2 linked regions of the Oreochromis niloticus genome follow. The protein of the gene in region 2 purifies or fractionates together with the protein of the main gene of each other region. This does not show direct contact. Links are inferred from orthologs where the notes say so. Each region holds a gene or a part of one and is shown on either strand. Other genes may lie near its edges. The genes, in order: brms1 and arid4a.

Region 1 (10,236 bases), on a different chromosome or scaffold from region 2:
CATGGCTTCAGACTCAAGAATAATGTCTGTTTTTCATCTGAGCAGGTGTCGCCTTCACCAAAAAGGAAAGAACTGAAGTCAGGACTCACAAACACATGAAAACTAGCATAAACATGCTCGTTATTCCCGCAATTGTTTATTGTCAGCAGATTAGACATCCGACATCGAGTCTACTATAAAAATCACAGATCATGTATGAGAGTTTATTCGCCAAGTGTCCAAGTCCAAAAATGTTAGCTCCACTACAAAAAAGGTTTCCCTAACTCCGGCTAACAGCAGCCTTTACAGACAGGATAGTTGAGGATATCCTCAACAACTCACCTCAGTATCACCGTCATTGGACAGAAGTGAGCTTCACCGACTCACCGACTCGTACCTTTCACACTTTTTACAGCCTCCTCCAGAGTAAATGCACGAGCACACATATTTACAGCCGAGGTAAACAGCACGCTGACAACCTACACTCACTACAGACAAATGGCAGCCAAGGTTGTTTGCACTACAGTGGCCACCGTAGCTAGGGTATTGGACTTGATTAGGATTTTATTTATTTATTTTTCTGTACCAGCCACTTGTGTCCGTATCTGCATGCTGTTCTGTAGTGCAGCCAGCGGGTCTCTGTATTCACCGGCCTTTCCTGTCAGCACCTCGTCCAGCTTGACTTTCACCTGGTTTAGCCGTTCCCGAAACAACCTGCAATCACACGGTGAAATCAGCCTCAGCAACAGGTGGCTCAGACATCGAAAAAAAGAAGAAGGACAAAGTGTTGAATCCCTTTTTCCCCCCGCTTCAAATTACTTCTCTTTCAGCTCCTGGAATTGTTTCTCCAGATCCATCATCTCATCCAGACATTCTCCTCTTCTCCTCTCACAATCTTCATCATCCATCTCTTCATAGGACAAAGAGAAAAAAGAAAACAGTTTAAGGTGGCGTCGATTATATTGCGTCTCTCTTGTTATATAAGCAGTCGAAACGTTAATAGAGCATTTTGATTTTTTTTTTTTTTTACCTGAGCTCTCTTCTTCCTCTTCCTCCTCTTCCTCCTCGTCACTATCTTCCAAGTCGGTCTCCCTCTCCTCCATACTTTCCTCCATGGTCTCCTCGGCTCCTCCCCCTCTTGTTCCTTCATTCTCTCTGGGTTCTTCCACCTCTCCGTTGGCCTCGGGGAGCTGCGACTCACCCTCTGCCTCCATCTCCTCCTCCGGCTCCTTCACAGGGGGTTGGGCAGGCATGGAAGCCAGAAGCTATATGTGGCATTAATAAAAATATCACATAAAACTAAAGACGGTAAACTCTTCAACACAGCCAATTCTATCCAGATATGTTTGTACTGCATTAGCAGAAGATGTGGGCAATATGGCCTCAAAAATATAGCACAGTATTGTCACATAATAAAATGAAAGAATACTTTCAGCCTGCGATGTTGTACGTTGGGCCAAAGTTTTTAACCTGTTGCTTAAAACCCTTCTCTGCCACATGTAACTGCATCTGTAATTTCCATCCACAGTTTGCTCTTCCTGTCATGTGGAGTGCGACCAGTGAGTGCTCCAGCTGCGCTCGGTGGAGTCATCTGCTTACATTTGGGTCACACACCACCAGCTGCTAGTATCTCCTCCTTCGTAGCCTGGGTGTACTCGATGATGTGTTTTTGCCTCAAGTGATGAAACAAGTCTGTTATTTCTACATTTAGCTGGAACAGTTTTCTTGCATATTGTGCAGCGCATTGTGCTTTGTTGGACGTCTTTTAGCTACATTTTTTAAAATTGGGATAATGGAATATCAGAGATGATGTGATATGGTTCTAACTGGCAGCATGCTTGAAATCATTGTCATGTTGCTGCTATGAAAATCTAAAGCTAATTTTTGTGTTCACATTTCCACTGTGTTTTATAGACAGCTGCATACTCAGTGTTGTACCTCTCTCCTGACATCCTCTCAGTTTGAACCAAAACAAAATTCAAATTTGCCTGCTTCCTGTTATGTGTAGACACACCACTGGTTCATCAATTGAGTTAGGTGAATTTGCTTGAATAATTCATAGGTCAGTGTTAAGCGGCATAACAAACAAACATTCAGGTAGATGGGGGCAGCTGTGGCTCAGGTGGCAGAGCGGGTTGTCTACCAATTGGAAAGTAGCTAGATGAAAGTACTGTATGGATGTGTGTGTGTGATTGGATGAATGGGACTTGCAGTAGTAAATTAACTGAGCTGAAAGCCACTATAAATACCAGTTTGTTTACAAGTACTGGACTGAAAACAAGAGAAAAAAAAAAACCAAAACGTTGAAACACCTCCAGAAAGCCTGGAGAACTATTGCTCAAGAACACTTTAAATAAAAGAATTACAAGGAAGTCTGTCTCCTTGGAAGAAAAATGTAAAGACATGAGAGGTGGCTCAAGACATTTGCACAGTACTACATACACCAAAAATGAAAACTTAAAAAAAAAAAATGCAATTTAACCCAGAAAATTATGGTTCATGTAAGCTAAGTCTTACTTATGTGTGTGCATATATAATTTTTCTAAAAAAAAGTTATATAAATAAATAATAATAATGATATATTACCAAAGTGTCTGTTAAACTTTCATTGACATCAGTGTTTTAATTATTCTTGACTTACTTCATAAATAAGTGATCAGCGCTACACACAACTCCAAAGGGTACATCCTAAATATAGACTTTATAAAGAATCATAGTTTAAAAACATATTTTTGGAAAATTCAATTATTTTATAAATTATATGTAAGAAGCTGCATAAGCACACTATTAATGTCCCAACAACATTAAACTCAAAATTATAAAACACTGACTGGGATGTTTACAACAACGAATACATTTGAAAACAACATAAATTGTCAGGGGTCATATTTCATATTTTACAGTCTGTAAAAAATAAACGCAAAGCATAAAACACATAAAAATTGTCCTGGTAAAATTAAGACCTGCCCGTGGGTTAATAACAGTGAAATTTTGCTTACTCGGCAGACGGAGTGGAATAAGGTTTAACAGCAGACTGAGGACGTGGGACCCCGAGCTACTGTATGGCCTCCATAACCTCGGCCAAGTGAACTGCAAAAAACACAACACAACACCGGAAATGACATGACTGGCTTCGCAGACATACAGGCAGGCAACAAGCTAAAATAACGCAGTCTTGCTTATCCCTCATAAAACACACCTTTAGAAAAAAGTTTATAACTGAAATATCACTTTAAAGTTGCTCCACAATTTGGCTTCACCAATTAACGGGGGTCTTATTTGTTACCTTACCGGAAGTCCCATCTCAATCGGTCTAACTTTATCTTTTAGCTTCCGGGATGTCAAAGTAAAACCGTGTACGTTATAACAGCTACGGCGGTGCATAGAGTAAAATAAAATGCCCAAATTAGCCTGAAACCTATTGTATTGAACGCGAAATTAATTGCAGTTCCCCTCAAAATAACAGAGACGCGTTTGTTGCATTTTCTTTTAAAATTAGCGGGAACTAGACCACGGACAAGTCAAGTGCAACACTAGCTAACAATTGAAACCCTGCAGCGAAGGAATGACTGCCTGTTCATCACCTTGTCCGAATACTCATCTTATTTAATGGCCAAGTGTTTTCTCTTAGAGTGTGTGCTGGTTCGTAGAAGAAAAACACCCATCAAACTCAGTGAAGCATCGCCAGAGGGGCTTCCATACTGACCCTACCTTCCTACAGCGTACGGATTAACAAATAACGTTATCCGTCAACAGATGCAGGCGATGCTGTTTGTAAACAAATAACCCTTCTTTCCATAAATGTGACAGTCAAGAGAAAAGCTCGCTCACCGCGTCCTGTTGTTCTGCTGTGAAAAGTTCAAGTATGATTTACTGTATTTCCATTTTAAAAAGTACTTCCTCTTCGTCCCAGTCTTCTTTAGTTCCACACTTTGCCGGACTCTGAAGCCCGGAAGTTCAGCCAATGAGCGCGGAGACCGAGCACTGAACTGTCCAATAGCAGCGATCAACCCGAAAGTCTCTTGTCCAATCAGAAATACTCAACCAGATCCAGTAAGCCAATTATAATCCAGGTCGCCTTCCTTATTATTCACAAAATGAAGAAATGTTTGTCTTTAGGCGAGAAAGATGGCTTATAACCCATTGCGAGTGCATGTAATAGTGAGAAACACATTGTCTCGGTGATATAAGGTGTTTTGGTACAACTTCATAAAGATAGATGTAATTATTTAAAGAGGACACTTAAAGAAGACAAACATATTTCTTCATGAATACTATAGAATTCAGTATACCCGTTGTTTGCAACAAGGATTTGGAGCTGTTTGACCTAAGACCTTGCTGTAATATAATATAATATAATATAATATAATATAATATAATATAATATAATAACCTAACACTATAACTGGAGAAAAATTGGTTTCTAATTATTTTAAAATATAAAACAAAATAAAAAATAATCCAAATTTTACATATATGATTCTAAAAATACGGTTTATAATTGAACTTATTTTCATTCACGAGGCGCAAACCTGATAATACAATTTAAATCCCGAGATCTAAGGCAAATATTTCATTATAAAATACTTATAGAAATGTAGCTTAGCATAGTGTGTATAGGGCGCAGTACTGTACGATCAATGGTTATTCTTTTTCAATTGCTCTTCCACTGCTAGCACTGTGCAGCTGCTCTCACACCCCTATACTTAATTATGGTAATGTGGTCAAATAGGCTGAGTTTGCATTTGTAAGACACTGTAATTCAGGGGTGTGATGGTGTAATTAAACCCCATACATAGGAGAACGATCCCAATTTCTCCCCCAAAGTTCTCTATTTTTTTGGTGGTGGGGTAATGTTGGAACCGTGAACTAAACGTCCGTGCTAACGTCCTTGCAATGTTTAAAACATCAAATCTAATACTGGCATTTATCCTGTTCTGTTCATTGCTCTTGTTGTTCCCTGAACCTTTGGTGAAAAGTTATCAATGGCATGATGCACTCGTTCACTTAACTTATATTAACCATCCTCCAAGTACGATGGTATTCCTGCAGGTATCCCCAGATATCCTCACCTTCTCAGCAGGTGGACGATGTAGCGGTTATACCAAGTAACCACAAGATGGCATTAAAGTGAGGCAGAATTTAATCATGACTGAGAAATTTGAGAATTTTGATATTTTTCACCTATTATGGGCTCTAGAAGAAGGATTAACAAACAGTACCAAGTACTATAATAAAACACCACACAGAGAAAAATGTCCATTTTACATGTTTTTATTAAAGTTGCATAAAAGTGTAACAAAATTGGGCAAAAACAAGACCTGTTGTTGATATTGCTACATTTGTTGGTTGGTTTGTTGGTCTAATCATTGTCTTAAAAAAAAAAAAAAAAAAAAAAATCTAAAGAACACCACTCCTCCAAATGGCATGGTTTAGCTCTTGTATTTAGCCTCAATGAAAATAATCAGTATATATATTGTTTTTTGCAATTTTCCCCAACAGTAAAAAAACAAAACAGACTTGTCAATAACAGTCTACGAAGGTATAATAATCCAAACCTGGATTTAGCAATGAAAATCCACTCAAACTTCAGCTACTGATTGGACTTGCCTGGTAAAATCTGACCGATCAAAAATGTCCCAGCAGGGAAGGCAAAAGCAATCGCACCAAAATGCATCTGAGTGGATTTTTTCTTTTTGTTCAACTACGTGTTAATCCAAGGCCGGGTGTCAAGAAGTGTCATGATCACGATAGAAACAGAGCAGTATTCAAATGGTAAATGCAAAGAACATCTTTTACCTAAACAAAAATCACTGTATCAAGGCCTAAGTATTAAACACTCACTTCTTAAAAAAAAACAAATCAAAAAACAGAATCTCAGTTTGTTTTCCAGAAAAAGAAGAAAGAGTATATAAGGACCAACAGAAGATTCAAGATTTTTTCCCCACACACTGCAGGTCTGCTCACACGTGGCAGCAGTTTGCATTACCCTTTAAAAGAAAAATGTCTCCTGTTTATTTGGTTTGTGTAACATAAATAATACCTAAGGCAACATCTCTTTATAAAAAAACAAAAAATGAAAAAAAAAATGAAAAAGGGAGGGAGGAGAGAAGGGTGACTGTGGGATGAAGGAAGGCAAAAGAGAAAAGTGGGGGATGTCAGGGAGCAATGACAGAGCAGCAAGATGAAAGTGTGTGTGTGTACACATGTGCCTTTTGGCTCTAGCAGAGAAAGAGGCAGACAGCGAAGGTCTGCTGTCACTGCAGGTGTTAGCAATCGGTCACAGGAACCACAGCGAAATCTCGCTGCTTCTCTTGTTAACCAATGGGCTTCGGTCTCTGATCTGATTGGCCCAGGATCAGAAACAGATGGCTTATTCTCCGAGAGGATTGGTAGCTGCACCGGGAGGTTAGAGGGGGGCAGCGGTGGACTATGGCCTCGTCTCCCTCTCTCTCTGACTGTGCCAGTGTTTGTGTGTGTGCACATCTGTGCTAGAGGCAGCTGTGTTTGCCGATGTGTTTCCGCTTCTTCCGCCCCGAGAAGCTGTGTGCGTGTCAGAGAAAGAAAAATACAAGCTTTGATTTGAACAATGGCCTCTCTCCTGTTTAGGCATGTTAGCGGTGATTCCACTGACATGTCAGGCAGAGGACAAATGTCAGAGATGTGACTGCTCTGAATGCCCCCCCTCAAAAAAGTATAATGGTTTAGTCTAATAATGTTTTAGAAAAGGAGAAATTGTGAGAATGAGATGGAAGGGTTAGGGGCAGTGATTTTAAAAAAAGGCAGCTTTGTTTTGGGTCCCCTTGTTGGACTGTCAGTGTGTGTCCGTGTGACAAAAAAATGCATCCAGGAAACAAAAACAGAACCCCCGCCCCTCCCAAACGAAACAGGAACCAGTCCTATACTAAAAATCTAATCTGTCATACAGAACAGCAGAATATACAGGCCCAAAAACACTCCTATGACAAATGTTGCTGTACATTATGTAGCAACACACACGTAGCATTTAGCGACACAGACATACGTTTGTATGTGCAGCGGCTTCTGAGGAGCCTCTCGTGACTGTTCTACGCATTTGAGGAAAAAGAAACCTTCTACTTTGACATCCAGCCTAAAGAGAACTTGCTTCCGGAGGAGATCAGTTTTTTTAAGCCGGTGACCACCAAAAACAAGCCGGTGACCCTTTCCAGGCTTCAAATTTTCCCTCTTTGCCGTGCTAAAGATACACCATACATTATTCTTTGTGGTTCCGATTTTTCTTCCCCTCAAAATGACATAGTGCAGACTTCTCAAACACACATGCGCACACACGCACAAAAAAAAAGTCTCTAAATGCACCACTGCAGCAATGCCTCTGATTGAGGGGGATAATTAGCAAAAGACTGTACTGATCCCCGAAAGAGTTAATTAAAAAAAACTAAAGTGAAGCCCTCAAATTGAACCGGGAAGTATGGAAAGAATTATAATGGGCGGCTGGGTCAACTTTAAAACCCTCAAAAACAGCAACGTAAAGATCGGTGGAGACAGAAGCGAGTTGATTGGCTTCTTCCTTCCTCTAACCCTCCTCCTCCTCCTCCTCGTTCACCCTTCCACTGTCTTTTTTGGCATCTGCGCTCTCTCGTTCTTCTCGATCTCGGTCGCTCTGCTCGCAGTAATTAGGGGACTCGTCTCCTCTTCCTCCTCAGACAGATGGAAGATGGTGTAGGGGTGGGTGGGGAGGAAGTAGAGCTGGATGGGAAAGGGTAGCAGAGCCAAAAAAGAAAAAAAAAAGGTGGAGAGAGGGGTAGGAGTAGGAAAAGAGGAGGAAGGAGAATGCCTGGATTAAGACCAATGAGTCGCTTTTGAATTAATTCACTCTTTAATTTGTCTTTTTTCCCCCTTCTTGGCTGATGGTTTTTATGAAGGAAGTCCAACGACATGACAACAAAAGAGAAAAGCGACATATGGGGCTGGATCCAGGCAACAACAAGAGAGGGTCTAACTAGAAGCAGAAACAAGTTGTCATTTCATGAACTTTAATGGAAGAAAACAGACAAAAGTTTAAAAAAAAAAATAGCGTGAGCTGTGGTAGGAAGACGAGAGGTGAGGGCTGAGGTGGAAGGGAATATGTAGGATGGAGGGAGGAAGGGGAAGGATGCCATCATTTCTTCTGAGGCGTGGAGAGCTTCTGCATCCCTCGGATCTTGTCGAGCAGCTCTGAGATGAAGTCCTACGGGGAGAGGGCAAGGACAAAAACACATGCGGGGACTCAATATGACAAATATGCACATCAGAAATGTTCACTTGAAGAGGCAGAGGGAGTTTATGAGCAGGGGAGTGAAGAAGAACTGTGTTTTACCTCAGTAGGTTTAAAACAGTCAACCAGCAAGTCCTGCAAAACAGGGAAAAACAGGATGAAATAACACTCTGCTGTTTGCAGCCATCTTTCCTGCTCTGAAACAGGTGCGCACGTGTGTCCTACCTTGACCCTGGCTGCCCGTTCAACATCACTGGGCATGTCGAGCAGTTCGTCCACATCTATCTCCAGCTCGGGGATGGCCTCTTCCTATAGCACATGTAACAAAAGGAGGAGAGAAGAAGAGCACCATCAGAGACCAAACATCCACCAACTTCCTTAGAAAAATACTAGAGAACCTCTTTCCACGAACACATGGAAAGAAATCCTCATCCTGTCTATTCTTAGTGCCTGTGTTTATATTATGTGGTTGTCTGCAAATAGACCAGCAAGCGTAAGCATTTCTCTCTCTGTATGACGTGGTACAGTTATTGATGAATGTCCGGCTGTGGACACTAGAGGGCGGCGTGCTTCCATTAGCGCAAAGCACATGGCAGAGAGACATGAGGAGACAAAGAGAGAAGAAAACCAGCACAGACAGGTTTCATTTTTTTAATCTTCTTCAATGAAAAAAAAGAGTTTATTTTCAAGGTTGGAAAAATAAAAAATAAAAGAATAATCTGGTTAAAAGCTGTGCTTATTTGCTGTTACACAGAGAGCAATGATACTGTTTGGGGACCAGAAATACCAGTGCGAAGGAATTTTACTTTTTGCCACACAAAATGATTAAAGGAATGGACTGAAATTTGTAGTTCGCTTTCATCCCACGAGTTACACGAGGAGACAGGGGTGCTCGTCTACCAGCTATTTAGCTCAGTTTAGCAAAAACACAGTGAGAAGGAGGTGGCATCTCATGTGTCCACTGTGTCAAGATTCACAAAGGCAAGGCGCTGCAGTGTTTTATCGTCTGTGGAGAGGGCCGAGCTAGCTCATTTCCCATCAATTCTCAGCTTTACGTGGGCAAAACAAAGCTATCCATCCATCTATAGCTTACAATGCAAGAAAGTCAGTGTGATGTTTGAGATCAAGTAAGAACACGTGCATGTCCTAAAGCTAACACCTGAGAAGAAACAAAGACACCAAATGGAGCAACACAGAGTTAGGATCCAGGCAAGTTCCTGTTTCTAACAGGTCTTTAAAGTGTCCTCCTTCAAATCTGTTGTGCAAAACTGGAAACATTTATTTTAGAATAATTACTATTTTCTTTACAGACAGCTCATTACTGAAAGCTAGGGTGCTAACTGCTGATGGCCACCCATGTTGTATTCATGTAAAAACCAGTTGAAACTGGGAAATCTGCTCCTTTGAATTGGGAATTTTTACCGCTGCATTCGCGTTTAGAAAACGTGGACTTCAAATCATATTTAAAGCAAAGTAACTACATAAATTAAAATACACATTTATACACCTAATATAAGCCAATCAGTCATCGCCCAGTTTCATCAGGCTCACATCTAACGTCGAATTAGTCTTCAGGATAAAGAAAGCAGTTCACGGCGAGTTCATCTTCGTCTCAGTTTCTCCTTATCCAATCAATTCTTTCTTCCGATTAATCTGTCGCTCTATTAAAAAGCTTTATTAGTCCCCGTCTCTCCATCTGCCTCGCTCGCACACACTGGCTCAGTGTGCTCCAGCCAAGCTCTTCACCGCTGGCGACAAGAACACACGCACGCACACTCGTACAAACACTCTGTGCCCCCCCCCCCGAGCTCTTTTGCAGCTCAATTGCTGCCCCTATATTCATGTCGTTCTCTAGGAATCTCTCCCTCGCTCTCGTCCTCCCCCTCGGTTAGAGTTGCCCACACCAGCTGTCTCTGCACCTGCCTGACTGCCCCTTATCCCATCACACAAAACACACACAAGTCAGTCGGACTCACAACCACACATGGACAGGCAAAACATGCTGTGTGGGCACATTAACA
Region 2 (10,109 bases):
TAACATGTTCAATGTATCATTTTGGCATGTCAAGTGTACAGCACTTTGTGTTCAGCTGGGGGCTGATCTGAAAGTGCTATATAAATAAATTGCTTGCTTGCTCCAGGGGATGTCACATGAATCGAGATGACGTGTAACAGTCAGTAATCAAGTCGGCCGATGTTTTTCTTTTTGGTTGGCAGAACCGGAGCGACTGCAGCTGTCAGTGAGCACTTCAGCATCTTGCTATCGCTACAACAGAGGGGTGGGCATAAAGGGAGTAATTTTTTGTTTAGGTGGGGGGTAATGTCAAATGCAATGTTTTTAATCAGCAAACACACAAACTGTTTGTGTCTGCAGTTTGTCTCACGGTGTGTTGCTAGCGAAAGGTCCAACTGCTGTACTTCAGAGATACAGGTGTGTACATCCACAAAGAGCAGTAAACCTCAGAGCAGCAGTAGCCCAGATCAGATCAGCCGATCACAGTCTGCACGCTTAGAAAATCTACTGGAGATCTCAATAGAAATGACTGATTCCCACACTGAGCCACTACAGCCCATTATAGGGTTCCCCCACCTGCTGAATCCCACTTTAACAATTGACTGTGCTCATTTTCTTATGCAGGAGCAAAGTCACCCTCTGCAATGTGGGACAAGAAAATTTAAAAAAAATCTATTTTTGTTCTTCTTCTTCTGATTGAAGCAGAGTATTAAAAATGAGACTAACCGTTTGTATTCATCTTCTAATATTATTTTATCATTGCATTAAGGCACATAGCTCAGTTAGCTTTGCACAAAACTAGCTAGTAGAAACGTCATCCAAAGACCCACTCTTTACTTTCTTACATTTCAGAGCCTGTACTTTTAATCTTTTACTTCCACTTCCACCGGAATATTTTTTAACACTAGTATCTGTACTTCTACTCGAGTACAGAATGTCTGTAAGGAATCAAAGCAATAACAGAATCTGAATTTCTTCTTATCAATCCCCATCCCTACCTACAAGACTTGTGGGTTTGTTGTGGCACAGTGTGTGAGAGACGTACCAGCACACTGTTGCAGTATTTGCTATAGGGGAAGAGCAAAGTTACTTTAGTCAGCAGTAACTGTGCTGTATAAAAGACGTGGGCACAGCCACTGTGATGTCACCGCAACTAAAGCGGATATAAAGAAATTCTGCATTTGCTCCACTTTTATAAACTGGTGGTTATATCCACTTTCTACATTCAGTCTGTGGCTTTAATGTGTTACATCTAAACAAACTTTACAACAGCAGGTGCCCAGGTATACTGAGACTCACACAGCTGGTGGCAACAGATGATACCGGCAGTACATCTTTGTCAGGTGACATCAGCCTGGTGACTGCTATCAACCAGATGATGTTTAATACTGGAAGCTGTCGTACACTTCTTAAGCTCTGATTAATTACTTAAACGACACAATGACAGGGAAAAGCCCTTACAACAGAAACAAAACGTTTAAAGTTGTTATAGTCATTGGCCAAATTGGTGCATCCCTAACACTGAAAGGCTGCGATCTGATTTCTTCACAGAGCTATGGGACACATTGTTTACCATGAAGTAAGTAGTGGAACATATTCACAACACAGGACTAGATTCATATCCAGGTTTTGAAGGAACTGTGGTAAGTAGGCCACTGTTAAGCAGAATTGAAAGCTTAATTAATTAAAAACTATTCCTTTGAAAAATCAGTCCACCCCGTTTGTGTCTGACATGTACTCAGGGTCAGAAAGCACAGTGACCCAATGATATTAAGTGGGAAACACTGACAGACCAGACTGTGGTCCTTTATAATTCCTGATGCTCATGAGGATGAAATTTCTGCTAATCTTACCTTGACTTTCACCATGCGCTTAACAGTCTTGATCTTGGCCTCACAGAAGGCTCCTCGGTACTTGGCACTGACATCTGTCCCCACTGTCAGGTAGGCAGGCTCATCTGCTGCCTGAAATGCCAATACAAACATACACATAAGCAGCAGCTCTCAAGACTTTGAGTTGCATTTGTGAAGTTTGTGTGATGGTTTCACTTTGTCAGTCTGTCATTTGTCAAAAGCCTGGAGAGCACATCCATGAGTCCTGGGTCTAATTCCAGTTTTAGGAAAATGGATCCTTTAAAAACTGATTACTGACGTACCTGTTTACACAATGAAAATGGCAACCAGTTCCTGACCATTTGTGTGAAGTGGTTTGTCATCTCAACCCTTACCAGCTTACCTTTTTCTAAACATCAGCTGCTGCCTACATGTTATTTTGTCTCATTTGTGTTGACACTTTTCATCTAACTCTTGATGATTACATCAAGAGTTAGATTCAGAAATGTTCAGAAATGTTTCTTCCAAGAAACCCAAACCTCAGATAACTTTCCTACCAGATACATAATGCGAGTGAATGTAATTAGCTTTTTATTAATGGCAATAACAGCAAATCAAACTAATCAATCTAAAAACCAGAATAAGACATGTACTGACTAGGTGTTTCAGTCTGTCTGTCTAAATATGCAGCCGGTCACCAAACACCTAGTTATATAGTGCTACTTGTCATAGCTCCTGATCCTTATCATGTAGTTTTACAGGAATAATAATGTTGTTGCATCTGATTTAAATCAATCATATTTTTAGGTTAAAAAAAACAACAAAACAAATCCCCCACCAAAAAACTCAAAGGGATGAGTGGTCTTTGGAATATTAAAAAAGGGTCTTTAAATAATTTGCAAATCAGAGACAGTGTTGTAATTAAAGCAGTGGAAATGCGTTTACATTGTACAGCAATTGTCGGAATCCTGCTTAGGACTATAAACATTTGGCTCATCACTATAACACCACAGCACAGATCTGCCATGTAAAAACGATAAACCGACACAGGAGTCGGAACTGGAAAAGCACAGTTTAAGTCATCTGTGTCTGGTTCCATCTGGGTCTCTGAGCAGGGTTCAGACATGGTGCTTAGACCGAGAACACCATCTTCAGTTTGTGTCGCAGGTCAAACACTCACCTTCATTTCTTCTCGGCTATTTGAGGGAGTCCAGCTCGAAAGATTTGGGATCACTGAAAGACAAACAATGAGCCGACAGATGAGGTTAAAGCTTGCGGTGGCACTGAGGACAAACAGGGCATAAAGAGTCAAACAGACCAGTCCAGTTTGAAAATCACGCTAAGCTAACCGACTAGCCACTCACTTGTGTTAGCTCAGGCATTCTTTTCTAGCTCGGTCAACCCACTCCCTCCCTCCCTCCCCTCAAATCTGCCTACTCGTATCAGTTCAAATATGTGGCCCAAACAGCTCGCAAAAATTTAGCTAGTAACCTTTACTTCCAGTGAACACCGGGTCCCCGGTTTGAAGAAGCGTCGCTGGTAGCTCGGTGATGGGCACGGTGCGTGAGCGGGGCCGGAGAGGGGCGCCTCTTCCCGCTCCGCTCCCAGCCCCTGTGAGTCACGTCGCCATCACAGCTTGTCATGTCAGCTAGCTGGGCTAACTTTATCACATCCACACCAAATCCGCTTAATAGCGACCAGCTGCTACCACACAACCGAATGCCAAGACGAACGAAGTCCAAACAACAGGCGAACGGGACAAGCTGCTCTTCGCTTCGTAGCTACGTCTAGCTAGTTGGCTAACTAGCGACTCAACTAGCTAGTTACGGAGATTTAAACGGTCCGCTAGCAAATGAGCAGCATAGCTAGAGTCCACTCTAGGTCCCACTTGGTTACGAGATCAAACTAAGTTTTTACTAAACAGTGTGAATCAGTGACACTAGACGTAACGAGAACTGCTGTAGATTTATTTATTTAATAAACGGTTCCTCCACAAAGGCGCCGGAGCTTCACATTTCTTCAGTGCAAAAACAACCCGACTGCCATTCAATTCAGACAGCCCCGACGAATAGCGAGCAAACGGACATCTCCCGGTCTCTCCGCTGACGTCTAGCTGCCCTCGGCCTACCGACAGTTTAAACTGTTCAAAGTTTTAGCTTTGTTCTAGTCAAAATATGAAGGTTTTATACTTACATTCACGGACACAGCAGCTTCCCCTCTCGCTCGGGCTGCAAAGCAATATACGAACAACAAGCTGTTGAGCCTCAAGCTCCGTTTCCTGAGAACACGATTGGCTGTGGTGACAGCAGTGGTCGCAACACAGAAATTTGATTGGTGGATCGATTTCTCAATTTCAATAGGACAGTCTTCACGCGGTATCGCTATGGGCTTGTACAAACGCGGCGCCACTAGGGAAATGACGGCACCTGCAGGCCAGTGGTGTAATCAGAAGCGAGTTCAATAGAAAAAAATACACAGGGCGATCACAATTGGCCGTCCACGCTTTGTTCCTCGCTGTAGCGCGTCTCTATTGGCGGAGCGGTCTTCCTCGTCTGTAGCGATATAACAGGAAGCCTTGCCGTGCTGGATTTCTGAGCACCATATTCAATTCACAGTTCATACTACTTATTTGTCGACTGGGCTGACCAGAAAAATAACACGCACGATTTTGTCAGATATAAAGTTTACACGGATTTTTACATAACCACAAACAGCGGGCGCTGGTGTTTGATCGCTTTGTATTGCCGGTAACAGCGAATCGAAACAACCGGGAAAAGGCGCTTCATGACGTACTTACGTGTCCTTCTGTTGTTATATGCAGTGTTTTCACATGTACGCGGAAATCAAAGAGACCGTCTCCTGCCCCCTTCTAATTCGCTGGTAACTCATGACTTGAGAACATACAGTGCACACTTCATTAAATGTGATTTGGTTCCACATCTGAGACGTCATTGTGTGAACCACGCTCTACAGCCTTTGGCACTGACAGCTTTACTGGATAGATGAGCTGCAAAGACAAAACGGTAGGCGTTTGTTTGGAGTACCGACGCCACAGGAAGACAGCACAATCATGTCATGGTGGTCACAGAGAAAGTGACGCTGTCATAGGTCCAACTATACCAAATCATAGGCCACTAAACAGCAAACACGTATAAATACTAAACAGTTTGTTATGATTTGTTGTTAAAAACACCCCAAAGATATTAAAACATCTCATTTTACCTGCTAATCATATTTTGCATTCATTCTTCATTAGTTTAGAAAGTGAAATATTTTTGTTCAAAATGATCTCACTTTGTGATGAAGGTCTTGTACAAACCTACTATAAAACCACTAGTTAATAATATTCATGTGGTTGGAGCTCTGCATGCAAACAAGTTTGTTTTCCGTTGTTGTTTTTCGTGTTTAACCAATCAGCTGACTGAAACACTGAAAACTGTTTGCTCTGTAGCAAAAAAGTATATTTGAAAGGTGGAATATGGCAGTATTAAAGATTTACAATCACTGTTCATCAACACTCTCCCCAAAAAAAGTAGTGTGAACTTTCATTCAACTTTTATTTTTAAAGCTGAAATTCAAACCAAAAACAAGACAACAGATGTGAAAGATTATCAACTATAAAACCAACAAAAGAAACAGATGCGCCCGTCAGCAGAGGATGAGTTTACATGTTGTCTTCATCCGAGTCGTCCTCTTCTTCCAGAGAATCCTGAAACACAAAAAGCAGTCACCTGAATGTACTGCCCACCACAGGAAAGTAGAACAACTATGGAAATACGTTCTCTACTAAAGTCAGACATGAATATCAAAGTCGTAAAAATGAAGGCTGGTTCCAAAAGAGTCGATCCTTACACATTCGCACGTTATTAGGTACAAGTTCACGGCGTGTCTCTACCTCCATACAAAAAACTGTTTTGGTCTGTAAGGATCATTTCTCCCTTCCCAACAAGTGTGTGGGAATACATTTACTGTAGAACTCACACATTTAGGCTTTAATAAGAATGCAGCTTCTTCAACTGTTAGATTTTCACAATGGTTAAAATGAAGCCCTCCACAGTCTGACAACTAATATCTGCTGTGAGATCCAGCCGTCCGAGACGTTTGTGGCCAGACGCCAACAGGCGACATGACAGCAGCGTCACAGTGGCTACATCTGTTTGTCTTGTATCGTCTCTATCTGCTACAAAGGATTATCACCCACCTTGGCATATTTCTCTGCTTCCTCTCTGACATCTTTGGGTACCAACTCGTGTCGTCCATTTGTGACTGTAAGAGAAGATATGTCACCAGGGCAACCAAAGTACTAATGAAGAATTACTTAGAGTTTTTTGCCAGTTTGTCAACATTATTCTGCATGTTATGCTTCTTTATTTGTGTGTCTCATTAGTTTAATGTGGCCGCGTGCAGCTCATGGATTGGTCAGACAGCCAAGAGGCAGTGACATCACAGGAACTCAGTCCAGTGAGCGAAACCTTCTGGATTGTCATCATCCCTACGCGATGAAGGGCGTCAGCTGACATCACTGTTAAGTCTAGAAGCTTCACACTAAAAGTAGAGACAGACAAATGAGTGGACAAGAAGAGCACTGATGGTGCTTACCTTCTCCAACCCAGCTGAGCTCCAGCTCAAAAGCCTTATCCTTAACCTCATCGTGGACAATGTAGATTCTGCAAACATCAAAATACAACAGACTTTAGGCAAAATACAGATACACCACGTGTGCAATGTACTTTAGACTTGCACTTTACACAGTTCACTTGCAATTTTTCTGCATTACATGACATGGGAGTTTTAGTTCCCATTTTCTTCACACACACACACACACACACACACACACACACACACACACACACACACACACACACACACACACACACACACACACACACACACACACACCTCTCTTACAGGTGACACAGTTCAGGAGTTCAGAAAAAATGAGTTTGGAAGTTGCTCACTCACATTTTGGCGACCTCTTTAACCAGTTCTCTGCATGTCATGTCCTTCATCTGAGACACACACACACACACACACACACAGAGGGAAAAAGCAAAGATAGTATCAGGCACACTGATCTGGATTAGGAGACTAATATTAACTATTAATCTGATTTTTTCTTTTACAATACAATTTTCCCAGAAATATCAGAAATGTAATTGAAAATGTTTTTTTTAACTAAACATGTAAAAATGCCTTTAAACATTCCTAAAATGTCAGTGAAGTATGTGCAGAAAATGTTTTTTACATTTTAAAAGAAAAAATAAGCAATTAAAATATGCAGATCTCAGAATTGCAAAGAAGAGGTTGAAAATAGACATTTCTTTAATAATTATGTTGGAAAATGTGTCCCCCCAAAAAAAGGAAAAAAAAAAAAAATGATGCCAGAAAAACTTTTTTTTTTTTTTTTTTTTTTTTTTTAAATATACTGGTGGTGCCAGTGCTACACTTCAACTCCCAGTAGATGCAGCTATGGAAGAAATGTGAAATTCCCAGGTGATTTCAGAAAAGCTGACCTCTGACCTTGCAATGACAGTCACCAGGATTCGAACCTGTCTGAGATTTTTTTGGTGTTCTCACCCTGACCTTGAGGTCGAGGTCACTCGACACATACCTCATCAGCCTTTTATGGCTGCGGTTAAAAAGGTCAATATCAAAATTACATCTTGAAACTACTTGAAATTGTTTTTACATGAACCTCAAACATTATTAAATTGAACCTTTTGACTTTTTTTTTTAAACCGAGTCACAGTTGAGTTCAGGATCAGCTGCTTTACAGACACTGATGCCACCAGCTCACATGTATTAAGGTGACACGTCTTCATTAACAGACGATCTTTCTTATCTTATTAAAGATTTGTGCTGAAGCTAAAGTTGTGGTTATTTAACAGATGAAGAACTGGATCTAGAATAAGAGTGCTAACAGAACTAAACTGGACTCATGTGAATGTTGCAGGTTCAGACTCACCTGCAGTTTTTCAATCTCAGTCTTGGCAGCTTGTTTTGCCTTTCCGATGGCACATCCCCAGTAACCCTGCACACAAACACACACACAGACGCACACACAGTGTTGTTACTGCTGCTTTAGCCAAGGTTCTACCTGGGTTCCCACCATATACAGATGTGAGAGCAAACTCACGTATGAGATGCCGGACGGGTCGACCATGTAGAGCTGGGGACCGTCGTCTTTGTCGTATGAGCCAAGGATGAAACTGAAAGAGAAACAACCAGAACACAGACATGAAAGCATCGATTTATTACTGTGCTCCTAGAGTGAAGGAGGGGGACCGTGAATAATAATAATAATGATGATGATAACAACAATAATACATTTCATTTATTATGTTCCTGAACCTACAGCTTCCTGTCCACTCCATTCAAACTCAAATTCAAGAGGTGACCTGAGATTTTTTTTTTTTTTTTTTTGTTAAATGTCAGAAAGTCTTTTCTTTTGGTTGGCTGATGTATAAAACAAAGAGAAAAATATCTCCCACATAAAACTAGAATCCTTTATACATTTTGGGTAACCCTGTGATTTCCGGAAAGACTAACTGCATTAGAGTTTTTAAAATGGATATTTTGTTGCTTTAACCATTACAATGTGAACATCCATATATTCAAGAGAAGGCAGACATCTCAACGGCACATACGTCCAAAATTAGGTAAGACACCAGAACAACTTAGACCAGGGCTCTCAAAGTCGTGGCCCAGGGGCCACTTGCGGCCTGTATATTGACGTGAAGAAATCTAACGCAGTTTGTCCCTTGAAGTGACTTTTTCTGTTACTGAGGATTTGTTGTGTTAGTTCAGTGACAGAGTCACACACTAATGTGTACACTTGATTTTGTTACATACGAACACAATGAGAGCAGAAGTGCTGCCACGTGTCTGTCCAGAAGGAGAGGACCAATCATTTAAGTTTGAGACCCCTGACTTAGATGAATAAACACCAAAGGAAAAAATAAGAAAATCCACTTCTGGAGCAAGTTGTCCGTTTAAATGACCTCCAACTGTTTGATAAAGGCTTGTATGTGAAATATACGCTGCTCCCCCTATATGTTTCCTCACCCTGATGGCCTGGAGAAATTCTCTCGACTCTCAAAGATATACTTAAGAATGAGAGAATCCTTCACAATGGGAAAGAATTCCAGGTCAAGTGTGAAAATGGAAATAAGGAAAACATACATTTCCATAAGGAGAGGCTCTCTCTGTCACTGATCTACGTCACAATCCTCATCTTTTATTGACATGCACATCCACACAGGTAACCAACTAATGCATGACTGTGTGCTGTACACAGCACAACACTAATATGACAACACTGATCGTTTACTCTGAACACAACACTGAGCTGTGGTCCTGAACACATCATGACTTTGAGCTTTGACAATGAAAAGAACACAGACCTGAACTTGAAACAATTACAACTTTGAATCCGTCAGGCCTAAATCAGTTTTTCCATTTAGAACAAAAGTTGTGGATTTGTGGGCGTGTCCCTGAGTTTAAGGTAAATACAGCAAAGGGAATAATCTGACAGTCAACAGGAAGTGACATCATAGAAGTCCCCCCCCCCTCGGGTACGTACTTGAGTCAGTCATCGCTGTGATGGGTGTAGTTAATTTGGATCATTTTTTAAAATAATACATATGATAATTATTATTATAATATTTGTACAATACTTTACATCACCTGAGCTGTAAATGAAGTTTGACTGTTGACGGCTCGAACATTAGAAGAATACAATATGAAAAGGAGTCATTAAATGCAACAGCGGTCTTTTCTAGTAAGAGGGTTTAATCAGGAGCCGTAGGATGACAGCAAAGCTCAGGAGCGTGTAGCGACATAAAGGGTACCAAGCTAAACTTTAATGCTATCTGATGTGACTGTGTGAATGATGAGACTGAACCGTCTTTTTGACAAAATGACTCCGGCTCAACAGGAAGGGAGGAGTCAGACAGAAGCTCAGGGTTTATTTAAAAATGCTGAAGGAACAGAAGACGTGACGGCAGCTCCGCTCCATGTTTTCATAATGTTAACATAATTACTGAAACTCACCTGCAGCCAAACGGCCTCACAGCGCTGTACAACGTATAGGCATGGACATACATGGCCACTCTGTCTGAGAGGTGCTGCAAGGAGAGGAAATACCATTAGATTAAAACCATTCAGATCCCCATTCTGTGGCCCCAGACACAAACAAACAAACACGTGGTATTTGCTAAAATGATTTTATATGATCGATCAACCAACTGACCAGCTGTTTTAGATGAGAGGCATTGTAAGAAATCCTGTAACTATACT

Evidence for each region.
Region 1: the proteins of arid4a (region 2) and brms1 purify together in Homo sapiens (affinity purification with western blotting; 3 studies listed by BioGRID and IntAct, with this or other methods). This does not show direct contact. The link is inferred for Oreochromis niloticus from reciprocal best matches to the Homo sapiens genes ARID4A and BRMS1.

Annotation. Positions count from the first base shown.
Region 1 is NC_031967.2:10,441,716-10,451,951, reverse strand, and holds the start of brms1 (breast cancer metastasis-suppressor 1), read right to left. Parts: upstream 3,961-10,236; 5' UTR 3,811-3,960; intron 3,551-3,810; exon of another isoform or gene 3,179-3,550; intron 3,070-3,178; 5' UTR 2,979-3,069; intron 1,245-2,978; 5' UTR 1,233-1,244; coding exon 1,010-1,232; intron 890-1,009; coding exon 799-889; intron 694-798; coding exon 566-693; intron 1-565. Other genes in the region: ppp1r14bb (protein phosphatase 1, regulatory (inhibitor) subunit 14Bb), read right to left, coding at 8,120-8,188, 8,318-8,350, 8,441-8,524. UniProt on the Homo sapiens protein: Transcriptional repressor. Down-regulates transcription activation by NF-kappa-B by promoting the deacetylation of RELA at 'Lys-310'. Promotes HDAC1 binding to promoter regions.
Region 2 is NC_031983.2:2,562,413-2,572,521, reverse strand, and holds the start of arid4a (AT-rich interactive domain-containing protein 4A), read right to left. Parts: upstream 4,235-10,109; 5' UTR 4,005-4,234; intron 3,619-4,004; exon of another isoform or gene 3,303-3,618; intron 3,045-3,302; 5' UTR 2,998-3,044; coding exon 2,992-2,997; intron 1,944-2,991; coding exon 1,833-1,943; intron 1-1,832. Other genes in the region: psma3 (proteasome subunit alpha type-3), read right to left, coding at 5,476-5,520, 6,013-6,077, 6,411-6,478, 6,774-6,820, 7,777-7,842, 7,948-8,020, 9,864-9,937.